4 linked regions of the Drosophila melanogaster genome follow. The protein of the gene in region 4 interacts with the protein of the main gene of each other region in a pairwise test. Each region holds a gene or a part of one and is shown on either strand. Other genes may lie near its edges. The genes, in order: CG2218, Pof, eEF1alpha1 and zormin.

Evidence for each region.
Region 1: the proteins of zormin (region 4) and CG2218 interact in a two-hybrid assay, tested with the Drosophila melanogaster proteins (one large-scale study listed by BioGRID).
Region 2: the proteins of zormin (region 4) and Pof interact in a two-hybrid assay, tested with the Drosophila melanogaster proteins (one large-scale study listed by BioGRID).
Region 3: the proteins of zormin (region 4) and eEF1alpha1 interact in a two-hybrid assay, tested with the Drosophila melanogaster proteins (one large-scale study listed by BioGRID).

Annotation. Positions count from the first base shown.
Region 1 is NT_033777.3:30,424,912-30,429,856, forward strand, and holds CG2218 (uncharacterized protein), read right to left. Parts: upstream 3,366-4,945; 5' UTR 2,930-3,365; coding exon 2,225-2,929; intron 1,904-2,224; coding exon 1,148-1,903; 3' UTR 516-1,147; downstream 1-515. Other genes in the region: CG15536 (uncharacterized protein), read right to left, coding at 1-226; CG15533 (uncharacterized protein), read left to right, coding at 3,931-4,945.
Region 2 is NT_033778.4:24,667,714-24,672,092, reverse strand, and holds Pof (painting of fourth), read right to left. Parts: upstream 2,697-4,379; 5' UTR 2,619-2,696; exon of another isoform or gene 2,570-2,618; 5' UTR 2,523-2,569; coding exon 2,246-2,522; intron 2,192-2,245; coding exon 1,307-2,191; intron 1,246-1,306; coding exon 1,054-1,245; intron 996-1,053; coding exon 862-995; 3' UTR 516-861; downstream 1-515. Other genes in the region: CG33228 (uncharacterized protein), read left to right, coding at 2,862-2,941, 2,997-3,356, 3,413-3,620; CG4806 (uncharacterized protein), read left to right, coding at 3,792-4,379. UniProt on the Drosophila melanogaster protein: Probable RNA-binding protein that specifically binds to the fourth chromosome and may bind an RNA that spreads the fourth chromosome.
Region 3 is NT_033778.4:11,889,374-11,896,044, reverse strand, and holds eEF1alpha1 (eukaryotic translation elongation factor 1 alpha 1), read right to left. Parts: upstream 4,911-6,671; 5' UTR 4,801-4,910; intron 4,650-4,800; exon of another isoform or gene 4,580-4,649; intron 3,924-4,579; exon of another isoform or gene 3,861-3,923; intron 2,923-3,860; exon of another isoform or gene 2,850-2,922; intron 2,504-2,849; exon of another isoform or gene 2,491-2,503; 5' UTR 2,471-2,490; coding exon 1,079-2,470; 3' UTR 525-1,078; downstream 1-524. Other genes in the region: ERp60 (endoplasmic reticulum p60), read left to right, coding at 5,226-5,374, 6,656-6,671. UniProt on the Drosophila melanogaster protein: This protein promotes the GTP-dependent binding of aminoacyl-tRNA to the A-site of ribosomes during protein biosynthesis.
Region 4 is NT_037436.4:2,148,690-2,153,471, forward strand, and holds the start of zormin (zormin), read right to left. Parts: upstream 3,012-4,782; 5' UTR 2,921-3,011; intron 1,593-2,920; 5' UTR 1,401-1,592; coding exon 1,056-1,400; intron 1-1,055.

The sequences.
Region 1 (4,945 bases), on a different chromosome or scaffold from region 4:
GCTTCTTCTTGGACAAGCCTGTCCTGCTTTTGGACAATCCTATCCTGCGAGAGCTCAGCGATAAAGGCGGTGCCCGCGGAGTCTCCTGTTCACTACATTTTGGTGTATTTGCAGCGGAATCGTCTCTCTGAAGTCTTATTAAGGGCGTTGACTGGCAACCACGCCTACTCAATCCGAGTCGGGGTCTCCGTCCGGATTGAGGCGTGTTATTTGCCTCACCAGGCATTAAAAATTAGAAAAAACGTACTAACCAAAAGGATTTTGAAATATCGCAGAACAGATGTGTAATCAGCTGTTCTCTTCGATATCGATAACACGCGAAAGGAGTAGTACTAAGAGAGTGACAGTAGAGGGCGCCACAAAGGAATGTAGGTTACCATGAAGAGAATGTAAATTATTATGTAAAAAATAACAAATTAGATTTTTTTGATATATAACGTAAAAAATAATTCTTAAGTGAGAAATGTAAACATATTAAAAACCACTATTTTGTTTTATTTATATTTATTGAGAGTAGTGATAAAAAAATACACATTGCATAAAATTATGCACAATTATTTCCGATTCAAAATTAACAATAACCGGTACAAATAAAGCAATTACAACTAAAACTAATTTAAAATTTTAAGCTTTTCGACAATTTCAACTTAACAGAAACACATTTTGTTTAAACGAGTTTAAAAAACGCAATGAATGCCAAACTGTGGAATATATCGCTACTACTCTCCATTGATTACACATTGGACTTAGGTTTTATTGTACTTTATTCTAGGTAGAATTGGTATGAATATATAAACTCGCGCTGAACGATCCTGTCTTTCGGGGACTGTATATAAAGTGTCTACAAAAACTAGGCGCGCACTCTCTATTGCTAATCGGTAATCCGTAATCTGCTCTATGACTAAACGTGACCTGATACTGATACATACTGCCGAATCGGGAGGGACTCGCGCGTGTACACATTTGGCTTAACTGCGATTTTGCGATTCTGCGACCAGACCGACTCTGATATGACTATAAACTAACGTAGACGAGGCCTAGGGGCTAAAGCGATTGACTGGCTTACAAACTGAACCGGATGGGGAGAACCAAACTCATTGCGGCAATCGACGGAAGGCGGTCGATTGGGAGATGTACGGGGAAGCTCTTAAGGATCCAGCTTGTGGTAGCGCTCGACGTCGGCGCAGCGGAAGAATACTTTGCACACGCACTGCTGATCCTGCGAGAGGAGCACCAGGCACTCCCGGCAGACCAGATGTCGGCAGGTGCGGATTTCGTAGCCGAACTGCGCACTCCGGCAGTTGATGCAGCTGGCGGGCGGAGCACTTGAGGATCCCGAGCCTGCGCTGGAGTTCGATGGCAATTGGCTAAAGCGCGTCACCTTCTGCAGCGCCTGTTGAATGGCCTGATCGATGGAGGTTGTGGCCGAGGTCACCGTGGCACAGGCGCTACCGTGTTGGCTGTGCCTTGCTCTTTTGGCCGCCGGCGGCGAGTGCGGAGATCCGCCGAAGGATGCCGCCGATGAGGATGTGGCCGTGGCAGTGGCCCTGCTCTTCCGCTGCTGCTGCTTGTAGGCGTTGCTCAGTGCCGAATAGGTTCCGGCAGCCGGACTAATCTGTCCCGGCTGACAGGTGCTGCTGGCGAACTGCGAGGCGTGACGACGACGCTGGCGAGAGGTGCCCAGCGAACGGGGCACCGCCTTGAAGTGCTCCGAATTCTCCATGAGGAACTTCTCGATGCGCGCTTTTAGGGCCAGGTGGAGAATCGCCTTGCGTTGCGCATTGAACTCCAGGCCTGTAAACGGATCCGAGGGCTGGCGACCCCACTTGGCCTCCTCCTCGGCGTGCTTGTCGATGGTGGACTGGTCCACCACTTTTCCAGATGGCAGCACGGTGGGGAAGATCTGAAGAGGCAATGGGAGAATTGATAAGGAGAGCTACAAAGTAAACAGTTCACAGAGCATCCTATTATCTTTATATTTAAGTGTTGTTGCGTTTCGGACATTATAATGCAATTCTCATTATGAAGAAAATGAATTCTTTACATGACTTCCGATATTTACCTTGTTTGGTTTTGATAAAGACATGATAATTGATTCATAAAGATTATAAAGAATTATGAATAATAAAACCGTGCAAAACGATTGATTTCATGAATTGACATGGGTATGTATTCAGTTGTACTACTACTTAAACATAAAAAGCTAGGATTTTCTGATATTTACCATTAGCTCCCAGGTGATGGAGTCGAGGAACTCTTCAGGAATAGAGAGGGTCGACTGGTCCCTGAGCTCTGGAACATTCCGCGGTGGTGATCTCTGCCCGGTGGGCGTTTGGGCCGCGTCCCTCTGGCCGTAGGGATCGCTTATCTCGCTCCAGATGGTCTTGACCAGCTCGCGATCGGCTTTGTCCAGCGAACGAGCGGGCAGTCCCCACATCTGAACTTTCCTCAGCACTGGAGGACACCTTTCCGTGGCCCGGATCACCACCTTGACGCTGTTTGTGCTGGCAAGGATCTTGTGGGCGGACTTGAAGAAGAACACCTTCTCGCTCTGCTCCGAGTTGGAGCTGCTCCGTGAGTTGTAGTCGCTCTGGTAGCAGAAGGTCACCGAGTCCACGCCACGCCCCAGATCGCGTACGAAGGCAACCCTTTCCCAGATACCATCGTGTCGTCCATGCAGCTCGAAGGCAGTGGATCGTAGGGCTCCGCAGGAGGGCCACAGCTTGATGACCTTCATGTCCACCGCCTTGGGGAAGTCGAATACGATCTCTATGGGCGGCTTGCAGACGGCGAAGCACATGAATCCACGCTCCAGCTGCTCGACGTCGTCGGCCACCAGATTGGCCGCAGTGTAGCCATCCTCGCAGACGGCATCGGTCTCTACGGAGGGCTTAAGCTTTGGGTTGAGGAAGTTGATCAGACTGCTCATCCTGGCTGCCCACTGTGCTATACTCTCGGCTGCTGTTATGTGGCTCTTCACGGCGTATATCTACTCTGTGCCCCACCTGCTCTTTATTCGCAATGAAAATGGCGTCACTTCTCGGGAATCTTTTGTTGTTGCGTCTGCCTGCGGAGGCTGCTAATCCTGCCTGGTAATCCCCTGCTAATCCCGCACTGGGTGCGCTCCTGCTCTCAGCCGATCCTGAACACTCACAGCCTGGCCTGGACTTCGGCTGGCATCTCACAACGCTGCTTCAATTGCAATTATCGCCCTGCCTCTTCGAATATTTATAAATCACTCGCTTGTGCAGTGTGACCATGCCCGGGCGGTAGTGGTGGTGCGACCAGTCAGATGGACTTCGCTCAGTACTCGCGTACGGTAACACCTATTCGCTTGGGCGGCAAAAATTGAATGAGTTAAAATATTTGTTTCAACGTATAATGCAAGCCTTTTCGAAATCTGTTTCGTTTCGAATGAAACAATGAAAAACACGATTGCTATGGTTGAGTTATATTCATTTACATTTTGAAAAAGTGTATACTTAATTTGATTTCTTGTTCAATAAGCAAAAACGATCTCAAGAACTTTGTTTATCATTTATACTTAAATTAGCAAAGCAGATATGATAAGGTTCATCAGTTTACACTATAGGCTCTGGCTTCTTTGAATCATAAAGTATCTAGTTAAAAAGGGAAAGTTATATCGAAATATGTAATATGACTTATTAATTGCCTATTTGTGGTGAATGGTCAAAAATGGTAATTTTTGCGATATGATTATTTAGAAATCTGCCCCACCGGAGGCAGATTGTGGCCACTTCTCATGCCAAAAATATAATCATATAAAAGTTCTACTATTCGAGATTAGGCTAATCTCTGCCATGAATGCGTTTTCCGGCCTGGTTAATGGGGTGGCCATTGGCTGAGAGATAACCGAAAGCTATAAATGGCCCCACACGTGGAAACTATGCTCCAGTTGCTCTGCGAACCATGAAAGCAATCGGAATCCTGCTGGCGATCGCCTTGACCTCCGGGTTCCTGGTGGTCTCCGCCGTAAACTTGCCGGGAGTGCCCGTGGACTTCGACCTGGACGACCACATCCTGTCCGCCATTGCAGACGACATAGCCGAGCGTCTGGCCAGGGAGTACATCACCTTCCTGAAGACCGGAGTGGAGACGGCGGAGTTCTTGAAGCTCACCAATCAGCTGGCCAAGTCGCACAGTGAGAAGGATATATTCACCAGGAACATGCCCGATCTAGAGCCCAGGGATAGCTTCTTTGCGTGCGTGGCCTGTCGCTCGGTGACGCGGGTTTTGATTCGCACCATTCGCGAGGAGGACGGCGAGCTCCACGGGGAGAATAGCTCCGTTCTGATGAAGGAATTCGCTATGGACGTGTGCCGCCGCTTGAATCTGCAAACGGAGGAGGTCTGCGAGGGATTGATCGATTCCAACCTGCCCTCCGTGGAGTACATCATGAGGAACTCCGAGAGTGATTCCCAGAGCTTCTGCTCCTTGTTCATGGAGTTTAACTTCTGTAACACCGGTACAAATCAAGATTACAATTGGACCTTGACTATAGACAATACTGGAGAGGCTTCGGCTGGCCCCAAGTCGGACACTCCCACCTTTCAGGACTCGGACATCAGGATCTGCCAGTTCTCCGACATTCACCATGATCCCTACTACACCCCCGGCAGCCTGGCCACTTGTGCGGAACCCATGTGCTGTCAGAGGAACAAGGAGACCACCGAGGGTACGTCGGATGCAGCTGGATACTGGGGCGACTACCGGGACTGCGATCTGCCTTGGCACGCCTTCGAGTCAGCCTTGGACAACGCGGTGGCCAACTCCAAGTGCGACTTCATTTACCAGACTGGCGACATAGTGGACCACATGGTGTGGGCCACTTCCGTGGAGAAGAACACCATGGTGCTGACCAAGGTCAGTGAGCGGCTAAACGCGGCCTTCGGAGATGTACCCGTATATCCCTGCATCGGAAACC
Region 2 (4,379 bases), on a different chromosome or scaffold from region 4:
GGATCAACGCTAGCCACTCGAGTAAAGTTTCCAAAATTTTACTGCACGTTGGACACCGAAGTGCTTGAAATTCAAATGTTACGCACATCATATCGAATACGATGAGAGGAAATCCAAAAAAGAATAATGAAAACATACAAATTGAAATCGAACAGAATATCAATTGTAAATTGAGCGATCAGCATGTGACACAGGTGCCTTATCAAATACTTTTGTTGTTGTGTAAATAAAATCAGCCTTAAATATAATGAAATAGTTTATAACATTCCGCATTCAAATCACAAAACGATCAAAAGTCATATCAAACCAGAAGTTCTCTACGTAGTTTTGCTGTTTTGGTAATGACAAATTGCGATATTAAATTTAACGAGCCATATGCAAGGAATTGGAGAGAACCAAACAAAAATAAAATACTGAGCATTGAACGTAATTTAGTTTAGATATAATTGTTAATGTCGGCACATGGGAAAGGAGCTCCGCATGCTCCTCCAGCTGTGCTACAATTTCGCAAACTCAAGTGTTTTAAGTTTACAAAACGATACGTGACTTGACCATATATAAACTAATATGAAAATCATCATCGAGTACATATGATTATTATATAAGTGATATTTAAGACAGTCCATTAAACGATATTTTTTCGGGTTTAATATTTAAAACCGAAATATTATTTAACTTACGTATTATTATGTATTATTATTAATATTATATACCATAAATGTACGCTGAAATAAGAGAAACTGAACAAAAACGAAAACGAAGATACAACAAATAAAGAAACAGAAGTCCAATAAAAAATAAACTAAACTATTATTCTAATTCGTCTACGACGAGTAATTTGGTACACTGTAGCATGACAGATTAAGGATCAGGATCGCGTTCCAGTTGAGCATAGAGCTCCTCAAGTCTGTCATCCTTCTCGTACTCGTCAGCAGTCTTCATCGCACTAGTGCCTCGTCTGAAAGGACCCGTAAACAAGCGGCCAAAACACGATCCTAAGCAAGAGAAGAGGAGGAGAGTAAGTCAAAGAACTCAATTTGGGTATTAGTATACTTTTGGCTTTCTTCTGGCTGTCATCTTGAGCTTGTGTTGTCGGCTTGGTAGCCGGTACGGGATCAGGGATGCCCAAATAGTCGCACTCTTTCTTAATGTCACGCATTAGGTGCACCGCATTGGATCCTAGTAAACAACCTGTGGGATTCACGCTCGGCTCTACTTTGGGTGTAAGGTCAGGTATAAATGTATCTGCGAATGGAAAAGTAGTTTTTGTAAGCTCAGTATATATTCAAAACAGATCAACACAGACCTTCTAAGCTGTTCTGTCTAAATTGCAAACTTTTTATAATAGCGCCGTACTCGGCCATTTGACGCTTGAGCTTTTCAATCTCTCTTTCCTGTTCATTTATCTTCTTCTTGCGCTTGCCGTCTTCCTTGCCGTTGCCACTGGAATCTGAGCAGTTATCGCTGTCGCTAATTATGATAGACTCTAACGGCGGTGGAGATATGACCTTGCAGTCAGTGTTGTCGTCGTCTCCATTTGGGGATTGCAGCGCCTGAAAGGAGGTGGCGCACTGCACCATTGGCATCCCGGCGCGCTTCCGGAGTCGCCGATAGCGGACTGTGAGAGTGCGGCTGTTCAGCGGTGAGTCGACCAGCTCCTTGAACGCTTCCATGGTCTGGTCAGGTGAGGCGTAACGCACAAAGGCGTAGCGAGCGCGCTTCTCGCGCTTCAGCACTCCGATGTCCACGCGCATGGCGTTGGCGAAATAGGCCTTTATGGCCGATGTGGTCATGTTGAACGGTATGTTGCCCACATACAGAGAACAGGGATCAATGAACTCGGCCTGCTCCTCATCGGAGAACGGCTTAAGCTCCGCCCGAAGGTGCCCCGTACCGAAGCGCACCCTGTTTATGTCGCAGATGGTGGCCTCCACATCGGCACCGGCCTTTAGATGCACTAGACAGTATCGTGGAGCCACGCTAATGGGCAAGACCACATCCCGAATATCCTTGGACAGTCCTGCCAGCATGGGAGCAGTAATCTCGGGATCAGGAAAGCGGACGAGCAACACTTCGGAAGCGGGTGTCTGCCCCGGTTTGTTGGTCAACTCGCGTTCCAGGGCGAGGGCCCTTAATGTGTGTTCACGGCGCATTTTGGCCAGCTCCCGACGGGACAACTTGGCAGTGTCGGCTGAATGAAATTGTTGTATAAGAGTACTAGGATGTGAGCGTACCATCAACTTACGTTTCTTGTCACTGGTGGGCTTCTCCAGCTCGGCGTCGTTGTCCAAATCAACGCTAGTTTTCCACGGCAGAAGTTGACTCCCGGCGGGAGTCGGTTCGAACAAATAGGACTCCATCGGTGGAGTACATCCGTGGCCCGTGTAGGGTGCTACGTGTTTGGCCAGCATAACCTGACTGCCGTCGCCCCCCGACGCTTCTTTGTCTTGATCATCGGTGGTATCAAGGCGCTTGGCGTCCGGACCGTCGCCGGATTCAAGGGCCGCGCGTTTTGAATCCATTTTGTTAAGGTATCAAAAATGTGGAAAAATGTGGAACGTGTTCCTAGCTAAAGTTGTGGAAACTGGAAAAGTCTGTTCTATAGCTGTGTTGTTTACCTAATGAATGTTTCCGGAAGGAGTCGGCTTCTAATCATTATTCGAGTCTGACGCAAAACTCATAGCTGCTGCGACCTGGTGATCCGGCAACTTCGAGGCACAGCTGATTATTCTTCGGTGCATTCCTCAAGCACATACGTTGCCAGACCTTCTTCTTTGACAACCATCGGGTAGTGCCGCTGATTGCAGCACAGCTGATCACGTTGCCAGATTGTTTTCAAAGACAGCATAATAAAACACAAAATGTGTGCGGCCCTCTTACGAAGTGTTAAATTGGTTTATTTACGGCCAATACTAGCTAAACCGAATTTCCAGCTCTTACAGTAAGACCTATCCATTGACCTATCCGATTGAATCACTCTGCACCTTCTCATTTAGCACCAGCAGCGTGCTCCGCAAATGGCGGAATGCATCCTCCGGCGAAGTGGAACGGAAGCTCCTCTTTGGCGACAGGCTACCAGATAACTATAAACTGATTTACCGGGCCCCTATCGAGAGCTACGTGACCTGGACGAAGAATATATCCACTGCCACGACCACTGTACTTGCTGCGGTGGCCGCCTATCACTATGCCACAACCATAAACTACCTGGATATGGTCCAGAAAATGGACATAGCCATTCTGGTGTCCCAGGAATCAGATCTGTACTACTTTGTGGGTGGATTTCTGCTTATAAACCTGGCGATTCGAGCTTTTGTCGCCAAATATCCACTGAGAATATACAAGAGCTCGGAAAAGTAACTTTGTACGGTAGTACATGACATTTATAAGTAGTAACTTACTTTATTTTTAGATACGTGGCTGTCTATGGGTCCCAACTACCCATTGGAACTGTAAAACACTATTTTGAACGCGGTCAAATAGCTGAATACAAGAATTTTTTAAATCCCTGGAGCCACATTATGTACAAACTGGGCAACCGCTCCTCAATGCTTCTGGTTGATTACTTCAAGACCCCCTCGGAGTTCCACCAACTGTTCGCGACCAAACAAGAAACGTAGACTTTTTAATTGTTGATAATTGTTACAAATAAAATGTTAAAAACATTTTTTGAAATGTTTGTAAATTCCCGCCCATTTTCTATCGGTTATACCAGGGATGGACCTTCATTTTGGGTATTTTGCCGATCAGCTGTTTTGTTCGTTAGTTCTCATCAAGAGTTCCACGTGCAAATGGAACTTAAAAAAATGAAATCTTTAAAAGACGACGCTGCCGAATCCCAATCTCAGCCAGAAACCGGGGTCCGGAAGCGCCGCAACCCCTTTAACACACAGAGGCTGAAGGAAGAGAAGGAGCGCCGCCAGAAAAAGCGAGCGCGTCTCATCGTGCGCAACATCAGTTACAAGTCCACGGAGGACTCGCTTCGCGAGCATTTCGGGCAGTGGGGCACGCTGGAGGATGTACACATCCTGAAACGAGGTGACGGGAAGCTGGTGGGCTGCGCCTTTGTCCAGTACGAGACCATTAACCAGGCCACCAAAGCGATCCTGAACTCCAACGGCAAAGAGCTGCTCGGGAGAAAGGTATTTGTGGACTGGGCTTTGGGCAAGGACGAGTATGTATCAAAGAACCCGAAAGACGAGGAGCCGGATGAGAAGAAGCCAAAGGTGGAAGTGAAAGAGGAAAACGGTGACGAGAAGGAAGTTAAGGAGGAAAGCGACGCGGAAGTTGGCAAGGAAGATGAAAGTTCTGGGGAGGATTCTGATGCGGAATCCGGCGAAGATGAAGAGGACTCTGGAGAATCTGAAGACGAAGAGAAC
Region 3 (6,671 bases), on a different chromosome or scaffold from region 4:
CCTTTTTGTGCAAATTACTCCAATGTAAATATAGTTATATTTAAATCCATATATGTATTTTACGATCTTAGTTTATTTTCTAGTACATTTTTTAATTTGTTTTTATACAGATTTTACGAAGGAAATAATATATCCCATAACTTTAAACAGAAATTATAAAAAAACACTTGTTCCAACTTCGTTCGTTATTATTTAAATAAATAAATCAATGCATTTTTCTCTATTTGCGATGAGAAATAAAAGCCCCCCCCCCCCCCTCAAATACAATAAAAAATATTCATTATTCTTCAGATGCAATTGCTTGCTTTATTTAAACGATTGAGGTATTTGTTGTCAGATTCAATTGTTGTACTCTTCGACTAGCTCTTGTTTGTACTTTGTGGCATCGACGATAAGTGAACTTGGAGTTAGGGACGATCGATCATGGCGCTGAAAATCGGGAGGCAACAAGCAAAGAGAGTGCTCTTTTACGGGCTGGGTGGTAAAAACAAAAGAAATACAAAAATAGGGTTTTTATTTTTTTTGTAAATATAGTTATCGCTTCTATTCTGGTTCTTTTCTTGTGTACAAAGTAGTGTGTGCAAAAGTAGGGTAAGATAAATGATACATATCAAAGTATAAAGGTTAATTTAAACGATATCATAAATGCTACAGAGGATTCCTATATATGATATGATAAAACGAAGTCAACTCCGTGCATCATACCATATTTAGTAAACTAAAGATCGACGGGGAAGTGGATGAGGAGTGGATGCATAAATGCAAGTGTTTTCCCAGTGTGCACTCTTATCCTTGGGATCCACCGTTTCCCAATTTAGGCGGCCTCGTCTGCATTTAGCATTCGTATCCGTCGAAACTCCTTTCGATGGAAGAAATTAAACTTATGCTTCTGCTGAAACATCATCTTATCGGTCATCTTGCGCAGGACAGGTGTTGGTGTTATACTACTATTGTGTTCGCTGCTGCTGTTGCTGGTATTATTGAGTGGTGTTGTTGGCTGCATTATGATGTTGGTTATATGCTTGTTGTTGCTGCTACTACTGCGTGTTGTTGTTGTTGTTGAGTGGAAGCAAACCAGCTACTTCTTGCCCTTGGTGGCCTTCTCGGCGGCCTTGGTGACCTTGCCACCGGAGGCATCCTTGAAGTTGACAGCCTTAATGACACCGACAGCCACGGTCTGCCTCATGTCACGCACAGCGAAGCGACCCAGAGGGGGGAACTCCTGGAAGGCCTCCACGCACAGGGGCTTAGAGGGCACCAGGTTGACGATGGCAGCATCGCCAGACTTGATGAACTTGGGGTTCTCCTCGGTGGTCTTGCCGGAACGACGGTCGACCTTCTCCTTGATCTCAGCGAACTTGCAAGCAATGTGAGCGGTGTGGCAATCCAACACGGGGGTGTAGCCGTTGGCAATCTGACCGGGGTGGTTCAGCACGATGACCTGGGCGGTGAAGTCGGCGGCTCCCTTGGGGGGGTTAGCCTTGGAGTCACCGGCAACGTAGCCACGACGCAGCTCCTTCACGGACACGTTCTTGACGTTGAAGCCAACGTTGTCTCCGGGAACGGCCTCCTGCAGGGCCTCGTGGTGCATCTCCACGGACTTGACCTCAGTGGTGATGTTAGCAGGGGCGAAGACCACAACGGTACCGGGCTTCAGCACACCAGTCTCCACACGACCCACGGGTACTGTTCCAATACCGCCAATTTTGTACACATCCTGCAGGGGCAGACGCAGGGCCTTGTCGGTGGGACGGGCTGGGGGAAGGATGGCATCGAGGGCATCGATCAGGGTCTTGCCGTCAGCGTTACCCTCCTTGCGCTCCACCTTCCATCCCTTGAACCAGGGCATGTTGGTAGAGGGTTCCAACATGTTGTCGCCGTGCCATCCGGAAATGGGCACGAAGGCAACGGCGGCTGGGTTGTAGCCGATCTTCTTGATGTAAGAGGACACTTCCTTCTTGATTTCCTCATAACGGGCCTCGCTGTATGGTGGCTCGGAGGAGTCCATCTTGTTCACACCAACGATCAGCTGCTTCACACCCAGGGTGAAGGCGAGCAGGGCGTGCTCGCGGGTCTGGCCGTTCTTCGAGATACCTGCCTCGAATTCTCCGGTTCCGGCGGCGACAATCAGCACGGCGCAATCGGCCTGCGAGGTACCAGTGATCATGTTCTTGATGAAATCCCTGTGTCCGGGGGCATCAATGATGGTCACGTAGTACTTGGCAGTTTCGAACTTCCACAGGGCGATATCGATGGTGATACCACGCTCGCGCTCAGCCTTCAACTTATCCAAAACCCAGGCGTACTTGAAGGATCCCTTTCCCATCTCCTGGGCCTCCTTCTCGAACTTCTCGATGGTACGCTTGTCGATACCACCGCACTTGTAGATCAAGTGTCCGGTGGTGGTCGACTTACCGGAATCGACGTGTCCGATCACGACAATGTTAATGTGAATCTTTTCCTTGCCCATGTTGGATGATTACACTATGGCTGTTGTGTGTATTCGAGTGTTGGATTGACGGAACGTTGGAACATTGGAAGGTTGCAGGGTTCGGCGGGTTGGCGAGCAAGAGAGGTTGGAATAAACAAAGGGTAAAACAATTCGTTAGCATTCGGTGGGATTACAACTACAATTATTAGTGGGTATAACACTTTCTCATTTCCCTAGCGTACGTTCGACTTTTGTTTGCATGCGCGAGCACAACCTAACCTCAAACTCTTGCAGCCGTACAAAACGTGTTTTTTGAGGTTAGGTCCAGTGCCCGCATGTAAGGGTGTGGGTAAAACGAGTGGGGCGCAACTACAGAAAAGAGCGTGCAAATAAAATTCCATATGGAAACTCGATTTTGTTTCAGTGATTTTGGTATTTTTGCTTTCGTCAACTGTCTTCAGTAGCAGAACTGAAAAATCATCATCATGTTAAATCGAAGAGTCCAAAGGAAAATTCCAGCAAATTTAATTCGCAAATACACATGTGCTTATCTGCCTATGCGTGTGTATATCTATGCCTGTGTATTTGTGTGACGCTGTTGCCGGCCGGAGGAAAAGTAAGAGAGGAATAGAGAGAGAGAGAGACCAAAATGGCGGATGTGCATTAGTGTGCGTGTGTGACTTGTACAAATGCAAGCGATCTCGCCGCGGTGGCACAATTGGTAATTGGAAAGAAATGAAAAAGAGAGGGGCACACAACGAATTATTCAAGAACGTAGTGCAGCGGCAGCCATTTTACCAAAACCAATTATGGAGTCGGTTGGAAATGGCGAAATAGCTGATGCGAGTGCCATTTCACCAGATATGCTAATGGGCTGGAAACCCAAAAAAGCACATTTTTTCGCTTGTTGCCAGGCGAATTTTTTTCGCCCACTTGACTCACGCCACTGGGTCGCCATTTTAGAATTCCATGCCGCAAAAAGAAAGAATAAGGAATATCTATAGGTCATGACAAAGGCAAGAGAGAAAGCACGTTTTTTTTTCTCGGTTAATGAGCACATCTGGTGGATGACCTCTGTGTCCGGCGTGGGCGTGGCAAAGTAATTACACACTAAGTGCACCATATTGCAGGGCGAAAATGCGGCCGGAAAAGCCGGAAAATTATTTTGAGAATGCTGGGAACTTTAACTGGGAACGCCAGTTAAAATTTTTGCCTTTGCAGACTTGCCACGTGTTTGCTTCTATGGCCACCTTTCACTTTGGAAAACCGCAGTTAGAGGTTATCTCCGGGTTTATTACACACACACAGGAAAAACACTGGAAATATGCACAAATTCGGCGTCTCAGCTGCATATTTGTTTATAAATTGTTTTCTGGCTGCAGTCCCGTTGCAGAAATTACTTAATTATAGCCTCGCAGGTAAAACTTACTCTCGAATAAGCTGAATGAGAAATCACGAAGTCTAAGCGGCGACGGATTCGAACAAAGTGAACGAGCGTTCGGCAGAGCTCAGCACAGGAAGCCTCGTTTGACACATGGTGTGACCGAAGCTACGCAACTGTCAAAAGAGCAGAAACCGTGTTCTCACTGCGGTGTTTCCACTACGCGCGAATGAAGCACTTCATTTTATTGAAATTTAAGTGATTGAAAGTGGCAAAATACAATAACCTAACGATTGAGGGATTTAAAAAACCTTGTTTGCTCGACATTGTTTTTATATGAAAAACTAAATAATCAGTGATTCCAAAAATATTTTCTACAAAACGATGTCTATAATTTCTATACGTAATATTGGAACACATATCTCTTAATATTTAAAAACTATAACAATTGCATTAGTAGTCCGCATTTTGAACTTTTAGACTAGAACCTGAACTTTAATTTGTATGTGAACCCTAACGTAATAGAACTTTAAATAACAATAGAAGCTTGAGATCGTTTAAATTTATGTAATACGTTTCATTTATTTATACATTTTTTGGCGTCCGTTGCTACAACTAAAATATGCTACAAATAAAACTATAAGTAATTTGGTATTGTATCAATTTATACAATATTGTAAAAATTTATAACTTAAGATCTCACGTTTTAATACTTTTTCTTCTGGAATTCATCAGAATGCTAATATTTATTTGAATTTGTAACTTACTGCTTAATATTTTTTGTTAGACTATTTTTTCACTCAGTTTTCACTTGTACTCAATAAATTTATTCATTGTGCATAGAACAAAAGTTGTTAGCCTGCCCCTTATATAGGACGCAATTAAAAGTTCCTAAGTGTTTTCCTAATTTTGTGAAATTAATTAATTAGTTATTAATAATATGATTATTGTTATGCTTGCGAAATCAGTTAACAATAAATGCAATTACCATCTTTTATGAAATGATAATTTGACAAAATTTTATTATAAATCGGTATCAATTAAATTAATTTAAATCTAGATCTCAACTTTTCTGTGTGACTGGAAAGAATTATAGCTAAAGCATTTAAAACCCACACATATAGACATTAGTCATTAATAAATGATGAGCCATCTTTATTTATTGTTTACATATGCAGGAAAGCTCACAACTGAGAGCTTTTTCCAACTTTAGACATTTTCGGCCTAGCCCCACCTGGCCACACTACGACGAAACAGAATAAGAAGCGACGTGGCGAAAGAGGCAAAAAGCGAATTCAATCGTTGAAAAATACCGAACCGGTCCGGTACTCAGTTTTTGTTGTAGAAGTAGGCGTTCGACGGCCTAGTTGAACTTGAATTATTCACCGATATCGCTTCAAGTGAACCCAAATAATGATGTGGCGCCTTGCTGGAGTGCTCCTACTAGGCTTCATCGCCATCTCGTCCGGAGCGGAGCAGGATGTCCTGGAACTGGGGGACGACGACTTTGCCACCACCCTAAAACAACACGAGACGACGCTGGTCATGTTCTACGCCCCCTGGTGAGTTAGTGAGTGGGCGTGGCCGGGCGCCATCCTACAACAAATGCATTGCGTGTGCGATTCGCGTATAATCCGCTTGTTGCGTCCGCAACTTAATTCGATTCCCAATGCCCAGTGCCGACCGATGCCCGATTTTCCGGCCATCGCAAGCGCAAAGTACACGTCAGCGTTTGCCTTGCTTTTGCCGGCAAATAAAGAAGGAACGAGTGACGGAACGAAACGAGACGCAAAGAGAGGGGCAATGATGATATGCCAGTATTGGTGCCGTCGGCCATTTTAGAGCGCGGGGTGCCAAAGTGCCTAGTTGGTACAATTTCCGTGCAATTCCTGCTCCACTTGTCCACTGGCTAATGATAGTGAGCAGGCATAGGGGCCCCAGTGTACATAGCGCATCTTTTATTATAGTTTCTTATGCCTATGCATTATACCCATAATCCCAGGAATGTGTAATTCTAAGGGTTAACTTAGATTTAGCTTGAAACTGGTTATCATAGTCTGAAACACTCACAGTTCTCATACAAATGTAATTTCCCAACAGTTTACACCAACCATATTAAAACTTCAATTTTAATTGCCTGCCTACTCACAAAAGTTATGCTGATTGTGCTATAAATTTCTCATGTCAGTAGACACATTTTTAACTTCCATCGTAATCCACACTGAACACAATAACCTTTTAATACATTTTTGTTTAGTACATAACACATATTTACTGTGCCTATTTACTCTCTTTTGAGCCATTTGTTTGCCCATTATCAGGGGTAAACTATAAGCTCACACTTGGACAATGAACTAGGTAAATTATTAGCGTTTTTTTTGCCGGCCGGCTTTCGAAATCCCCAAAGAGCTGTTGAACTACTTGGCATGGAGACTTGATTCCCTCATGACGAACCTTATCAGTATTCAAGCATAAATACACAGGGATGAAGTTGAAAAAGTTGTACACTGCAATAAAACTGCTCTTTTCATTATAACATAGTTAACTTAAGGCATCACTTATCTTTATCAAAAATGAATTATTATCTGCACTGCTAAGAGTGCAGACTATACTCTGCTGTTTCAAATAAGTACCAAGTCGTTTTTCTCTCTGTATGCCTAATGGGCACTTGTACTTGTGTGATAAGACAGTTGATAATTCCAGCACCCTTACTTTAATTACAAGCTAGTTTTTTGGGAACTTGTCTTCCCGTTGCCTTGATAACAAATGATGAATTAGATAGTATTGTTACCAACATAATGTTTAAGTGACGTGTCCTAACAGAGTGTTTTTTCCTGTTTAAGGTGCGGCCACTGCAAG
Region 4 (4,782 bases):
CTCGAAATGGACCCAGACAGGTAGCAGCTGCGCCTAATTGTCGAAAGTATCTGGCAGATACATTTCTTTTTGTCACGTTTAGTTGGCTTTTGTGTCTTTGCTCTGATGTCAGACAACCTTGAACCTTTTGTGGCGTTTGTTTTTCTGCTGCCGTTTTTCAAATATTTATAACCGCTATCAACAACTTTTGCTTTCGTTGTTCGAGTGCTAATTGGCGCGGAAATCGCTGGAAGCCGGTTTAAACAATCGAAAATTGTAAGCCAGTTTTGGGCATTAGAAGTTCATGAATTTTTCAGTGCTAAAGTCACATAGTTTTGCCTCAGATCCGAAGGGGCTAGCTATGGGATAATTATAGAAATTTATCAATTAATGTCGACCGATTGGTAGTGAACATTTGCTTGGTTGGAGGCTGGGCCATTTAATAATAGTCGAACGTTGTTTTATAGTGATAAATTGATTGAAAAATGATTTGATAACAATCTGAGATAATGTATCTATTGAACTATTTTCTTTGCTTTACATCTCTCAGACTGTTTTTGCCCCACTACGCAAAATGAAAAAAATGTAAATATATAATTGCACTGTCATTAATAATGAACAAAGATTATGTCGTCATTCAAATGATAAGCTCATTTATATTGAAAAAAAAGGTTAATATATTTAGACTGGCTTAATTGGTTGTTATGGATTTTTATAGCTTCACATAAAACTGAGTCGAATGCAACTTTTTTCATAAGATGTTTCAATGACCACAGCTTATCCTAGATGTTTCCCCGTGTTTTCGAAACCTGACTGCACTTCTAGATTTATGATTTATTCAAGATCTCCCAATGCCCCGTCCCAAATCTCTTTTGAAGTCCTCCCAGATCGCCTTCCGCATAAATTTCCGCGCACTTCAAGAGCTTTCTCCGAACACTTCTCCCGTATCTAGATAAATGTTTCTTCATGTTTGTTTCCCATTTCTTGGCCTTTTTGCTGTGTGTTTTTTGTTTGGATTCGTTTCGTTTTTTAGTTTACTATTTTTATTGTTTGCGGGGTACAAGAGTACAACTCACTTGTAGGAGCGCTATCACCAGCTGGATGGGTCCGCATCGGACGACAACGGTGCCAATGGTGGTGGCTCTCAGGGAGGAGGAGGATGGTGGTGTGGTGTGGGTGGTGCCGGTGCCGGTGCCCGTGCCCGTGGACATGGCTGTGGACATGGCCTGACTTGGAGTCGGCGACGATGATGACATTGTTGCTGAATAATTGAAGGCGTCTAGCTGGGACTGCTGAGATTGCTGGGATTGCTGCGTCTGAAGTTGGTGGCCGGTGTGCGGCTGGCGGGGATTGGGATTCGAGGAGGAGGCGACCGAGTAGAGCGAAGACATCGATGAGTCTAGGGCTTGGCGGCGTTCCATGGTTGCTTTTCTTTCTATCTGCTCGTCTCTACTTCTCTCTGTTTTCTTTTTTTTTGACTAACTTTCGAGGATTGAGTGAGTGCTTGTAGTTTGGTGTGTTTTGCGTGGGCGTTTTATAATCTCTGTCGTTTAGTTTTTCTCGTATTTTGGCTTACTTCCCCTGCTTGTGTCTCGTGTTTTGCATTTTGAACTCTGCTCGAAAAAGTGGAACTATTAGATTGAGTCACTCGCGTTCGGATTTAATTTATTGGGATTAGTTATAGCCAGGGGATTCGATTCGGCGGTTCCTTCGTTTCGTTGCGAGCGCTATCAACGCCGGCGATCGTCTGAGAACCTCCGCGAATCGGTAGATTTTCGAAACGGAGAATTCTTTTTGCCCGCCGCGATGACTATGACTTCATACTCGCGCTCTCCCTGTCGCTCTAGTGTCTGTTTATTATTCCGTAGTGTCTATATATACGGCTATATAGCCGAGAGAATCGTGTGTACTTTTTGCATATTGAGCCTGAGAAAATTGCCTTTGATGCGTGTGCTAGTCTCGTTGTAGAACCTCGGTAGCCCCCCGCCCCGCCAAAACTCAAAGACAATGCTCGATTCGCGTTTATTTTTAAAACAACAAACTATTGAGTAATTTTTTGCGGCGATTTCTGCCACGAAGCTAAACTGTTGTTCTAGCCCAGATACTCAGATACTGCGATGCTACAGATACAGGCTACTATAGCTAATAGATAAAGCGCGCGGATGTTCGTCAAATCTGTAACATGTGCCAATTGCATTGGCAGAAGTCGTCGCCAGTCAGTCATTTTTCATGGATTTTTCGATATTTTTGAATACATTACGCATACGCCGCGTATGCTCGTGTGCAGCCAGCTGCCTCCATTAGGTAATTTTTGGTGTTTCTCTCAATTTTTAATAGTCGCCGCCGTTGCTGGCGTAATGTAAACTATTTTAATTGTACTTTGCGCTGTCTAAAAATAAGCAGCAAACCAAAAATTGGGAAGAACAAGTTCCCTTTATAAAAGTTTACAGTAGCGCAATCGAGGAAATGCTTTGCCTCCATATGTTGTTGTCCAAAAAATTTAAAAGAAAAAAAAATGGAAAATTGTTGATTGAAATTTTCTGGGGCGTGGACTGTTGTAGTATATTGAAATATGCACATGACTCAAACAAATAAGCTTTCAATGCATCAGGTCACCGAATATTTTTGAAAAATATTTTTTTCGCGCATTCTGTGTCGTTTTCTATTTGTTAAACATTTTGTTTGTGCTTTCTGAGGGTCGTCACAAAACTGAATATTCGACAACAACAATAAATTTAGCACAGATTGTTGATTTCATCTTTAGACGAGTGAACGCAAAAAAAACTAGCGCCAAGCATTTTTGAATGTCAAAAATGTTCTAGGTAAATTATGGCTGATTAATTTACGTTTCATTTCGCTTTTTTTTTGAAGTGCCAAATTTATTGTTTTCTTCCTCGTTTTCTGCCTAACTTAATTTACATAGATATGTTTTTATTCGCACATTATATTCGAGCGGTGGAGATGTGGAAAATCAAAACGCGCGCGCCGCTTTCCCAACAGCCGAACAACCGAACGCCGCGAACTTCGAACAAGACTGACTAAATGATCGGAAGACTGAAGACCGGAGACCGAAGACTGAGCAGATTCTACGGGAGACAGCCGATCAGAAAGAGATAAAGAGCGTGCAGCCCATGAAACTTAACCGATTCGCTCAATTCATTCATGCAGGTAGCGGTTCTCTTGTTTTGATCTCTTGACACTGGCTAAGCTCAGTTTTGAAAAGCCGGCTTGTATTTTGAAAATGAGAGAGTGTGAAAGAGAGGGCTGGAGACGCTAGACGCTAGAGAAAGAGGCAAGATGCGGGGCTTCAGGGGAGACGACATAAATAAACAAGTGCTCTTGGCATTCGCGGCGTCGTTAATTCATGATTTCAATTTTTAATGCCCTGCGCCCGGCTTTTCAGCAATTACAATACGAAGAGAAGGTAAAGCGATATGAAGCGAGCTTGTACCCTGTAATTCTGATGATAAAGGGTAACTTTAAGCGAACTGTTGCTACCCTCTTATGCCCTCACTTTATTTATTCGCATTTACTTTTGAATATTCATCTAACTTAACATCTTATGTGTGGATGATTTTTCCCCTTGGCTAGACCTTTTCCTCGTTGGTCTTATACACCCCATATAAGACGAGGTACCTTAAACCACAACATATTCAAGTGCAGCTTTTGTACTTTAATAACATGGTGAAGAGTGGAAGATCAAAATAACAACACCAGAGCAGCGGAGGAAACCAGACGATATCGTGTCTTAATGCAAGGCAAACTGACTGACCGCCCGCATTTAAATCCCCTCACCACCCATGATGCTCTATACCCCAATTTATGAAGTATTTTTCACCCAAAATGCGTGTCTTGCAGCTTTGGCTTTGGCTCCGGATTTCGTGCAATATTCAACGTGCAACATCCGACGCTTCTTGCGTGCAACAGCAGTTGCGGCAATCAATGCGCTGCAGATGTGTGTTATTATTTTTCGCTATCAACGATTCGAACTTATCGAATTATGCTTTCAGCGCCGGCACGTCAGAAAATCTGGTCGAATGGCATGAAAAGAATCTCATAGATATTTGGTTCGCCTTTCTGGATGATCAGCTCGTTAAGTATAAACTCTTTTCACTCACTCACCACACTCAGAGCGATTTATTTATATGTTTTTTAATTGAGATTAATGAGCCACTTGACGAAGCTCACAAAAGCAGCCAACCCCTCTTAACCCCATTTCCCCGCTGCACCCACTGCCAGTTCACATTTCAGATAATTGAAATCACTTGAGGACCACTTGTTAAATGTTTGGGGGAAAGGGCCACCCACAGAGGGAAATTGAAAAAAATTATTTAGGGTGGAAAAGTCCAAAAGAGCACTCAAGGGTTAAGTGCAGATGATGGCAATGACTTTTCACGGATGCAGCCCAAAGTTATGCAATGTTTTCATGGATTTTCGAGATTACATTCAAATTTTGCAGTTACGAGTTACTTACTTGCTTAAGCATAAAATTTAAAACTAAATACCTGAAAAGTTAGGAGGTATTGAAAAAAATTATAAATGATTAGCTTTATTTTTGGGGTAAAACATGTTCGATATTAATTGCACTATGTTTTGTGACTGTGACTGTGTGGGAGAAATAGTTATAAATAAATATTAAACATATGATTAATGGCAAAAATTTCGACTGGCCGTAAGTGAATTTAAATTCTTACTTTAAATATATTTTCTAACCATTTGGGAATTCTCTAATTTTTGCAAGCCTTAGACTTAATTTGAACTAACTAAATAAATATTTCTACTACTATATTTAAAGCAGAGAAA